Canis lupus familiaris: one gene and its partners. The protein of the gene in region 3 purifies or fractionates together with the protein of the main gene of each other region. This does not show direct contact. Links are inferred from orthologs where the notes say so. Each region holds a gene or a part of one and is shown on either strand. Other genes may lie near its edges.

Region 1 (3,665 bases), on a different chromosome or scaffold from region 3:
AGCTACATTCTCCCCTTCTCATTCAATATAACGACCTGTGACCCTTACATACCCAATTCTTGCTTGTCTGCCTCACCCTGATGGGCTGCATCCCCCTGTCCCCCCAGCCAGTTTCCCCAAATCCCCAAACACCTTTCTTCTCTGAGCCATAGGACCAGTCGTTGTCATTGATGTCATCATTATCCTCTTGGTCACTCTCTGACTTGTTCATATTGTTGCTATTGGCAATCCTACCAACGGAAGGGAAGAGAAAGGGTCAAGACAGCCACCTCTCTCTGCCCCCAACCACAGAGGCCAAGCACGAGCCACCCTCTGTGCCCCACCAATGCCCCTGGGGGACTACACCATGCCACAAGTTACAAGAGGTGGGACCAGCATCTCTGGTTCTAGCGGAGAGAGACGCCCTCACCGGCGGTTGGCGATGCGGCTGCTGTTCCGGCCCATTCCCAGGCACTTCTCCAGATGGGGAGCGAAGCGAGAGGCAGCAATACTACGGCTGCAATTGGGGCAGACACACTCCTTGCTCTTCCACTGGTTGAAAACCTGTCCAAAGATGTCCAACCCCGGCTGGTCCACGATCTCTGGGGACAGGAGAGGCGTGGCGATCAGGGCAGGCAGGGGACCCTCACCTCTTGTCTCCCGCCCATGGCCCCATGGCCTCTTGAAACCCCCTGCCTGGGCTCACAGGAGCCCCAGGTACTACGTCTGGTGCAGTTTCCAGAGGAGGAACTTGCAAGTATCCCCGGGACAGGGGCCGGATGGCTCTCCTTCAACCCTGAAGCTCACCAAAATCCTTCATGCTATCAGGGTCCGTGTCGTCCAGGAAGAAGTAGCCACACTTGACAGCCCGGTGTACCTCAAAGCAGAATCCCAAACAAGAATCCTCGACCAGGTCCGCGTATATCTCCTGAGCGATGGCCTGGGCCCAGGGGAGAACATCCACGGTCAGGAGTCTTGGCCCCCTGGACTGAGAGCAACTCTCACCAACCAAATCTGCCAACTCGCCCTGGCCAAAAATAATGCTTTCTTTGCCATTTTCCCCATCTTGACTTCGCATCCTTTCTTCTTCCGGAGCCTTGGGCCTTTTCAGCTGGCTATTCCCTTTAAGGAACCAGGCTGACTACCCAAATTCCTCTTTGGTGTGAACGCCAGATATAGCGACGTAGAGACATCAAGAGAAAGAACTAGAGGCACACGTGGGGGAGCCCTCACCTCTAGTTTGCTGTTATCCAGGCCAGACAAAGACATTTCCTCCATTTTCATTTGTAAACTCTTGTGGAGACGGCGCTCTGACTGCTCATAGCACAGCGGGCGGCAACACGGCTGCACACATGGGGGTGGGGGGGATGTTGGTGTGAGTCCAAGACACCTCTGGAGACTGCCACCTCCCCTCTGCACCCCACTGCCCAGAGCTTAATGCTGGCATCAGGATCTACCCTTCCCCAAGGCCTAGGCTCACTAAGTCTGGATGGTCCTTCAGGGCCTGAAACCCAAAGGCGGCCTAGTCCTTCCCAGGACTGAACTCAGGCCCTGGACTCTGCTACCAGTCCAAGTCTGAGTCCATAGGAGGCAGCAGCTCACCCCAGGTCCCCCAAACTCAAACCCCTCTTCCATACCCATGGTGCAATGCAGCAGGGGGAGGAGAAGGAACTCTAAGGCCTCAAAGCAAACCCACAGGGTGTGGCAAAGAACTGCACAGACTCCTAAATACCCCCCCCCCCCTTCCCTAGGCTCTCCTCAGAGTCACCTCTGCTTTCAGCCAGGATGTCCACTTGGGGGGGTACTGCTACCAGAAGTAGGAACAGCCCTAGAGCCCTACAACCTTCACCCCACTGTGTCTTCCCTTGAAATAAGCCTGTGACTACAGAAGGGGCACAGAGCCCACAGAAGCCTAGAGCTGAAGGAGCATTTCTAGCCATCATGAGCAGGAAGGAGGGGTAGAGCCCGGTGGGGATGGCATGCCGGGAGTGGGCACTCCCCTTACCTGTTCTTCTTTTTAGATAACCACCCTCCCTCCCTCAGGACCAGCCCGGAAGTCTCTCCAAGAGCCCCAAAGTCCAGGAATCCCCACCAAAGGATTCTGAAACAGCGCCCACAGTCCGGGGCCCCTCTTAACGGTGGGTACGAGTTTAAGGAGCTGCCGGCCTAGAGTGGGGTGGGGACTGACAAATGAGCCAGGGGCACCGGGGAGGGTAGGAGGCCGGGCCTCGGCTCTTCCCCCGTCCCTGCGGCACTGCTGCTGCATCATACCGACTGGGGGGAGGAGAGCCGAGCCGCCCGAGGCCGGCGCCGGTCCGGGACAGACCGACCCCTAGAGAGTGGGCAGAGTGGGACGCGTCCCGGCCCCTCTCCTTCCCCCCCGCCGACAGCCCCAGCCGGCCGGGGAGAGGAGTCCGGGAGGGTGTCTCTATTGTCCCGGGGGCTGGGGCCTGGCTCCCTAACAAAGGCCCCGCGCCCCCTCCCCGGCCGGCCCTGCCCCGCCCAGGGGGGACCCAGACAGGGGGAGAGCTGGGGGCCCCGGCCGGGCCGGGAAGCCGGGGGAAGCCGGGCGTTTCCGCGTCGGCCCGGGGGGAGGGGAAGGGGCGCTGACCCAGACCTGGGGGGAGGGGGCCCAAGCCCCGCCTCGGGCCCCGCCCCCCGCCCCCCGCAGGCCCCTCCCCCGTCCCCGTCTCCGTCCCGTACTCACCCCGCCCGGGGGGCCGCGCCGGGGCCCGGCGGCCTCTCAGGGCCGCGTCCTCCGGCGGCGGCGGCGGCGGCGGCTGCTCCGGAGCCCCATGTCCGTCGGTCCGTCCTCGCCTCTCCCCGGGGCCCAGGGCCCGGGGCCGGGGGGTCGGGCCGCCCCCCCGCCTCGCCGCCTCACCGGGCGGCCATGGCCCCTTCCCCTCCCTTCTCGTCCCGTCGCCGCCTCCTCCTCCTCACCTCACCCCGCCCGCGCGCAGTCCGCGCGCCGTCCGCGCGCCCCTCCCCCCGCCCCCCACTCCAGCCCGCCTCTCCCGGGCGGGGGGTGCGGCGCGAGCCCGGAGCGCGCGCGCGTGCCGCGACCGGAGGATGGATGGATGGAGCGAGCGAGAACGCGAGCGTGCGCGCGCGCGCCCCTCTCCCCCTCCCTCCGCGCGGGCGCGAGGCCAAGCGCGAGCGCGCTCCAACCTCCTCCTCTTCCTCCTCCCGCCCCTCTTCAACACCCCGCCCCCGCCCTCCCTTCCTCTTCCTTCTTTCGCTTTCGCGCGCCCAGCGACTGCTCGCGCCTGCTAGAAGGGCCCGAGCGCGTGCATCTGCCCCGCGGCCGCAGCTCGGCAGCATTTGCTCCAGGGGGCGGGGACCGGGCGGGGAGGAGGGGCGCCACGCCGCCGTCCAAAGTACCGGCGGACGGGGACGGGGGCGGGGAGATGGGCGGGGCCTTCGGCGGGCACCTCGGCCAATCGCCGTCTCGCCTCGGTCCGGCCGGCCCAATAGGATGGTGGTGGGTGGAGCGCCGTTCAAGGTGAGGTGCGCGGTGCGCTGGGGGCGGAGACGTTGTGCCGTCCCGGCCGGCTCCGGGGCGGGGGCAGCGGGTGGCGTCGAAAGAGAGCGCCGGCTCCAGCCGAGCCTGGGACGCCTTCCGGCCCAGGATCCCCCGCCCTTCCCTCGGGGCTCCCGGCTCTTCCCCCACACACACACCTCCTCCC
Region 2 (3,077 bases), on a different chromosome or scaffold from region 3:
ACCACATTTTGTTTATCCATTCCTTTAGTTAATGGGCAATTGAGTTGTTTCCACTTTGAGCTACTGTGAGTAATGCTGCTATAAGCATTTGTGTACACATTTCTGCGTGTACCTATGCTTTCATTCTTTAGTGTATATACCTAGGAATGGAATTGCTAGATCATAGGGCTACATCACAGAAATATAGGTCACAGAAATATAAATTCCTGCCCAAGAGAGTTAAGATACATGTAAGTCTCTTAATATGTATCTCCAAGTTGCTTTTCAAAAAGCTTTGAATTAAGTTTTAACTCTATGATTGAAGATCTTACTGTTATTCATGGTCGGTTCTCAGGAGTAATGATGTCCCAAAATAACAGCCTAGGACAGTGTTGTCCAATAAAAATATCATACAACTCATTAGGTAATTTAAAATCTTCTAGTAGACACATTTTTTAAAAAAGTAATAAACAGGGGAGTGTGGGTGGTGTAGTCCGTTAAGCATCTATCTGACTCTTGATTTCAGCTCAGGTCATGATCTCAGAGACATGAAATTGAACCTCACCTCGGGTTCTGTGCTGAGCACCAAGTCTGCTTGGGTTTCTCTCTGCCTCTCCTTCTGCCTCTCCCCTTGCACACTCGCGTGCTCTCTCTCTTTCTCTCTCAAATAAGTCTTTAAAAAAGTAATAAGTGAAATTAATTTTAATAATATATTTTATTGAACTCAATATATCCAAAATATATCTTTTCAAACTATATATTTAAAAATTATTGCTAAGGTTTTTTTTCTTCTTTATTCACATTCAGTTTCTGAAATCTAACATGTGTTTTACACTTTACATCTCCATTTGTTTTTGTTTCTGGTTTGTTTTTGTTTTGTTTTGTTTTGAGATTGTATTTATTCATGAGAGACACAGAGAGGCAGAGACGCAGACTCCCCACAAGGAGCCAGATGCAGGATTCAATCCTGGAACCAGGGATCATGCCCTGAGACAAAGGCAGATGCTCAGCCTCTGAGCCACCCAGGTGTCCCTCACATCTCCATTTGAACTAGGCACATTTCCAGTGCTCAGTAGCCAAGTGTGGCTTAGTGGCTACTGTATGGAATAGCACAGGTCTAGGAATTTGGCTATCTTCTTTGGAAGGTGGCAGGCGGTTACTTTTAAAAACATATCCTCATTTATGTCCCTTTGTTACCTTACTCTTTTTAATAAAAATGAAGCAGAAACAAAATTTAACTGACTAAAAAAGCCTCCTAGATAAGAGAATGGCTTACTAAATACTGTTTTACTGCTTCATATTTCTACCTGTTGAGTAACAATGTATAATGGGTGAAAAAAAAGACAACTTTAAAAGATACACTCCTTTATTCCAGCTTACTTGAACAGATCCTGGGGCTAGTTTTGTTTCTAGAATCTACATTATGTTACTGAATGCTAAACACCAGTGCAATGTTGCTCCCGAACATCCTGCTCACCGGTACCCCGGGGGTTGGAAAAACCACACTAGGCAAAGAACTTGCATCGAGATCAGGATTGAAATACATTAATGTGGGTGATTTAGCTCAAGAAGTCTGATCAACAGATATCATGGAGTCTGGCAAGATGGCTTCTCCCAAGAGCATGCCGAAAGATGCACAGATGATGGCACAAATCCTGAAGGATATGGGGATTACAGAATATGAACCAAGAGTTATAAATCAGATGTTGGAGTTTGCGTTCCGATATGTGACCACAATCCTAGATGATGCAAAAATTTATTCAAGCCATGCTAAGAAGGCTACTGTTGATGCAGACGATGTGCGGCTTGCCATTCAGTGTCGTGCTGATCAGTCTTTTACCTCTCCTCCCCCAAGAGATTTTTTATTGGATATTGCAAGGCAAAGAAATCAAACTCCTTTGCCGTTAATCAAGCCATATTCAGGCCCCAGGCTGCCACCTGATAGATATTGCTTGACGGCTCCAAACTATAGACTTAAGTCTTTACAAAAAAAGGCATCAACTTCTGCGGGAAGAATAACAGTTCCACGGTTAAGTGTTGGTTCTGTTACTAGCCGACCAAGTACTCCCACTCTTGGTACACCAACCCCACAAACCATGTCAGTGTCAACTAAAGTAGGGACTCCCATGTCCCTCACAGGGCAGAGGTTTACAGTACAGATGCCCACATCACAGTCCCCAACTGTAAAAGCATCAATTCCTGCCACATCCGCAGTTCAGAATGTTCTGATTAATCCATCATTAATTGGGTCCAAAAACATTCTTATCACTACAAACATGGTGTCATCACAAAATACTTCCAATGAATCATCAAATGCATTGAAAAGAAAACGAGAAGATGATGATGATGACGATGATGATGACGATGATGACTATGATAATTTGTAATCTAGCCTTGATGCTGTAACCTGTAAACTTGGTCTTAAATCCATTGTACTGAGATTAAACGTGCATGCTGGGTATTTTGAAGTTGTGTTGTAGAAAACTTAAATGGTATTTAATGAGTAAATATAGTTATCCTTTCCTATTGAATGTTGGGTTTTCTTTAATAGGATTAGTAATGGTTATTCATTAGCCTTTAAGTGTGAAAAATAAAATTGTTGTTCATCAAAAAAAAAAACAAAAAACACCAGTGCAAACATTCTCTTAAATTAATAAAAATTTCTTTTGTTGAGTCTTTAATGATGAAATGAACAGGAAAGAAGAAAAGCAAGAAATAGATTTGACTGTGCTATACTGATGAAAACCATGTTTTTCAATTTATTCTCACAATAAAAAGTATTTGATCTGAAATCCTATATAATCCCAGGATGCAACAATCCTTCTCTGTTGTATGGCAACTTCCTGCCATGCATAATTATTTTCCAAAAGCGTATCAGGTCAGAAATGAAGCAGAGAATGGGGGAAAGAGTCCATAGTGATCTTAGGCAGATTTTATTTTACTAGTAGGAATCAGTTGGATAGTTATTACCACCTGGCACTGCTAATGAGTCTAGTTGGGAAAACAAAGCAGCAAAGCATTCCACAGCAGACTGCACCGTGGTCCAGTTCTGGGGAGTCTTTTGGGGTCTGTTGAGCATCTGAAGATACATTTGAAGG
Region 3 (3,749 bases):
TCAAATTTGCTCATCTTTCAGGGTACAAATCAACTGGCAGCAAAGTTAACACTTCAAGAGTTGTACTTGCCAACCTTCTCACACCACAGCACACACAGTACAAAATATTTCTGGTAACATTTGTGTGGCACACTCAGGTAAAAGGCAAAGCTGCTCACAGCTGGAAAAGAATGGCAGGGGGATCTGGCTGCCCCAGGCCCCACTCATCTGCCCTGATGCCAAGGGCAGTCAAAACTTTCAAAGCATGGTATACAAACTTCTGTTCTTGCATTGTCACACATACATTGAGAGACTGTTTCACTTACTTATCTCTCCTGCAGACCACGAGCTCTTAGAAGACTGACATGCAGTTGTATTCGTCTTTATATTCCCAGAAACTAGCCCAGGGCCTAGCACCTACTAAGTCTTCAGAATACATTACTGAACCAAACTGAATCCTGGAAATCTCTTAAAATAGTCTCTCAACAATTCTTAAGTTGGGCTATTCACTATCTTCCCTCCAACCCCAGGAAAAAAAAAATTGTCCCCTTTTTTTTTGGGGGGGGGCAGGTTAAAAAGTAAGCTCTATGCCCAATGTAGGGCCCAAACTTATGACTGCAAGATTAAGACCTGAGTTGAGATCAAAAGTCAGATGCTTAACCACCTGAGCCACCCAGGTACCCCAATTAGTTGATATTATAGATACTTCCCTGTATAAATGCACTCATGAATAGTTGTCAAATACCTACTCTATGCTAGGAATGAGAAATATACATCAGTGAATGAGACAAAGAGTCCCTGTCTTGCTTACAAAACTCACAGTCCAGAAAGGAACAGACATTAAACAAGTAGTTCCATATACTTATTTGTAGGTGAAGTAAATACCTTATAAAGGACATAGAAAACAGGATACATGGATAAATTTGAATAAACGATGACAGGTAATGTTGAAGAACGGAAAACACAAATTCTCAGGCAAAAATGACCAAGTGCCAAAGAGAATATCCACAGAACACTCAGTAGTGAAACTTCAAAGCCTTAAGGGCACATACACACTAATACACTGGAGAAGGAAAAGGGGGGGGGCAGGGCCAGGCTGCAAAAAAACACCAAGAATATATCAGTATTTGGCCTGAGTTGGCCTGAACAACTGGAAAAATGGGAAGACTGGGGAAAGTGGTGAAGGTATGTGAGGGGTAAAACTCAAAATTTCAGTTCTGGACATGTTTGAGATGCCGACTCGACACTTTGAGATGTCATTTGCAAGCTGAATATAAAAATCTGGTCTTGGAGGTAGAGCACTGGGTCGAAGATTGACATTTGAGAGCACAATAGATAGTATTTCTATTTAAGGCCTTGAAATAGGGACGCCTGGGTGGCTCAGCGGTTGACCGTCTGTCTTCGGCTCATGGCATGATCCCGGGATCCAGAACCGAGTCCTGCCTCCGGCTCCTTGCAGGAAGCCTACAAGACTCTGCCTGTCTCTACCTCTCTCTCTCTAGCACTCAAGAATAAATAAAGAAAATATTTTTAAAAAGAAAATAGTTTTGAAATGGATAGCTCCTAGGAAGTGGACACAAAGAAGAGCTTAGGATGAGGGCGTGGGCGGGGGAGTATAACCATTAAAGATAGGGACGAGGAACAAGAAATCAGCAGAGGAGAAACCAGAGAGCTGAAGCTAAAGAAGAGAATGTTTAAGAGGCCTGGGTGGCTCAGTGTCTGCCTTCGGCTCAGGTCGTGATCCCAGAGTCCTGCGATCCAGTCCCACATCAGGCTTCCCGCAGGGAGGGAGCCTGCTTCTCCCTCTGCCTAGGTCTCTGCCTCTCTCTGTGTTTCTCATGAATACATAAAATATTAAAAAAAAAAAAAAAAATTGGGCAGCCCGGGTGGCTCAGCGGTTTAGCGCCGCCTTCAGCCCAGGGCGTGATCCTGGAGTCCGGGGATCGAGTCCCACATCGGGCTCCCTGCGTGGAGCCTGCTTCTCCCTATGCCTGTGTCTCTGCCTCTCTCTCTCTCGTCTCTGTGTATTCTCATGAATAAATAAATAAAACCTTTAAAAAAAATTGAAGAGAATGTCCTACAAATCAAACGAAGAAGTGCTTCAAGAAAGGGCAGTGATGAAGCGCATCAGCCATTGCTACAGAGGTGAGAACGAACTGAACACTAGCTTTGGCGACCGAGAGGTCACTGGCGGTTTCCACCAAGTGCTATTTTAGTGGAGCGCTGGGGGCCTAGACTAGAGCGGGTTCGAAAGAGACCTGGAGATGAGGCGCCAGCTAAGGCTGAAGCCTCACGCTGCAAACGGGCGCCGAGAGATGAGGAGGCAACTGGAAATCTCCGGAGGGCGAATGAAGTTGTCTCGTTAGAAGGGGCTCAACCCCGCTGCCGTCTTCTCGCACCTGAGCTGAAGACCCCGCCTCCGCCGCCTCTGCGGCTTCTGCGCCCCGCACGGCGAACGCCCGCTTCCCCTCCACGCCGCGCCGGCCAGCGCATGCGCAGAGCCCAAAGACCGCCGCCGCAGCCCCACCCCTCCCCGAGCCCCGCCTCTCCCCGCCCAGGGCGCGTGCGCACCGCCCCCCGAGAGTTGCCCCAGCGAGGCCCGGGAATGGGGACGTACCGAGGGCGACCCCGGCCCTCCGCTCCCGCCATTCCCCGGGGGCCCCAGACTGCGACCCATCCCCACCTGCCAAGCCACGGAATAGGCACGTCGAGCTGGAAATTACGACGGCAGCCGCGGGCGCGTCCCTCGAATGTTTTTCAAAGTCTGAGTACCGTAACGCGCTTGCGTTCGAAGATTCGCGGCACGTCGAGAACTACACACGCTTTTTCCCTTTTACGAGCTAGTCGCAGCGCGAACCTTTCCGCGCATGCGCCGTCCTTCCTTTGTGACGTGTCGCGCTGCTCCTTGGGAAATGTAGTTTTTATTTTATCAGTCTATGCCCGATGCCCTAAGGGAACTTAAGAAACCAGAGTCCTTGTGTGTTTTTAGTATCCTCTCTCATTCCCCAAAGCCTATAAGATAATTTAAAAAAATTTTTAAACCTCAAGCTGCCCCAAAAGATGTAGTTTATTATTTTAGTTTTTTTTATTTTATTTTTTAGCTCTATGGTTTTTTTAGTTTTTTTTTTTAGTTGTTTTTTTTTTAATTGAAGTTCAATTTGCCAACATATAGCATAACACCCAGTGCTCATCCCGCCAAGTGCCCCCCTCAGTGCCCATCACCCAATCACCCCAACCCCCCGCCCACTTCCCCTTCCACTACCCCTTGTTCATTTCTCAGAGTTAGGTGTATGTTTAGTTTTTTAAAAATAAAGCAGATCGGATCCCTGGGAGGCGCAGCGGTTTGGCACCTGCCTTTGGCCCGGGGCGCGATCCTGGAGACCCGGGATTGAGTCCCACGTCGGGCTCCCTGCATGGAGCCTGCTTCTCCCTCTGTCTGTGTCTCTCTCTGTGTGACTGTCATGAATAAATAAATAAAATCTTAAAAAAAAAAAAAAAACAGATCTGTAGACCCAAAAATTGCACTTTGAGGGAATCTTCTCAGGACCGTATTAAGGACGTGAGTAAACATTAAACTACATTAGTTTACATTCTAGTAAATGTCTTATAATTTCTTACATAACCCCTATCAAAGTTTAAAATTACATTTTATATCGTTTATTTTTTAAAAAAGATTTTATTTATTTATTCATGACAGCAGACACACAGAGAGGCAGAGACACAGGCAGAGGGAGAAGCAGGCTCCATGCAGGGAGCCCGACATGGGACTC

Evidence for each region. The genes of interacting proteins can lie anywhere in the genome.
Region 1: the proteins of SGF29 (region 3) and ATXN7L3 purify together in Homo sapiens (affinity purification with mass spectrometry; 8 studies listed by BioGRID and IntAct, counting the BioPlex papers as one, with this or other methods). This does not show direct contact. The link is inferred for Canis lupus familiaris from reciprocal best matches to the Homo sapiens genes SGF29 and ATXN7L3.
Region 2: the proteins of SGF29 (region 3) and TAF9 purify together in Homo sapiens (affinity purification with mass spectrometry; 3 studies listed by BioGRID and IntAct, with this or other methods). This does not show direct contact. The link is inferred for Canis lupus familiaris from reciprocal best matches to the Homo sapiens genes SGF29 and TAF9.

The regions. Positions count from the first base shown.
Region 1 is NC_049230.1:19,072,963-19,076,627, reverse strand, and holds the start of ATXN7L3 (ataxin-7-like protein 3), read right to left. Parts: upstream 2,873-3,665; 5' UTR 2,687-2,872; intron 2,200-2,686; exon of another isoform or gene 1,748-2,199; intron 1,324-1,747; 5' UTR 1,264-1,323; coding exon 1,213-1,263; intron 920-1,212; coding exon 787-919; intron 582-786; coding exon 410-581; intron 231-409; coding exon 133-230; intron 1-132. UniProt on the Homo sapiens protein: Component of the transcription regulatory histone acetylation (HAT) complex SAGA, a multiprotein complex that activates transcription by remodeling chromatin and mediating histone acetylation and deubiquitination.
Region 2 is NC_049257.1:19,523,817-19,526,893, reverse strand, and holds TAF9 (transcription initiation factor TFIID subunit 9), read left to right. Parts: upstream 1-1,440; 5' UTR 1,441-1,568; coding exon 1,569-2,366; 3' UTR 2,367-2,505; downstream 2,506-3,077. UniProt on the Homo sapiens protein: The TFIID basal transcription factor complex plays a major role in the initiation of RNA polymerase II (Pol II)-dependent transcription.
Region 3 is NC_049227.1:18,372,714-18,376,462, forward strand, and holds the start of SGF29 (SAGA-associated factor 29), read right to left. Parts: upstream 2,850-3,749; 5' UTR 2,663-2,849; exon of another isoform or gene 2,598-2,662; intron 2,433-2,597; exon of another isoform or gene 2,379-2,432; intron 2,373-2,378; exon of another isoform or gene 2,238-2,372; intron 1-2,237. UniProt on the Homo sapiens protein: Chromatin reader component of some histone acetyltransferase (HAT) SAGA-type complexes like the TFTC-HAT, ATAC or STAGA complexes.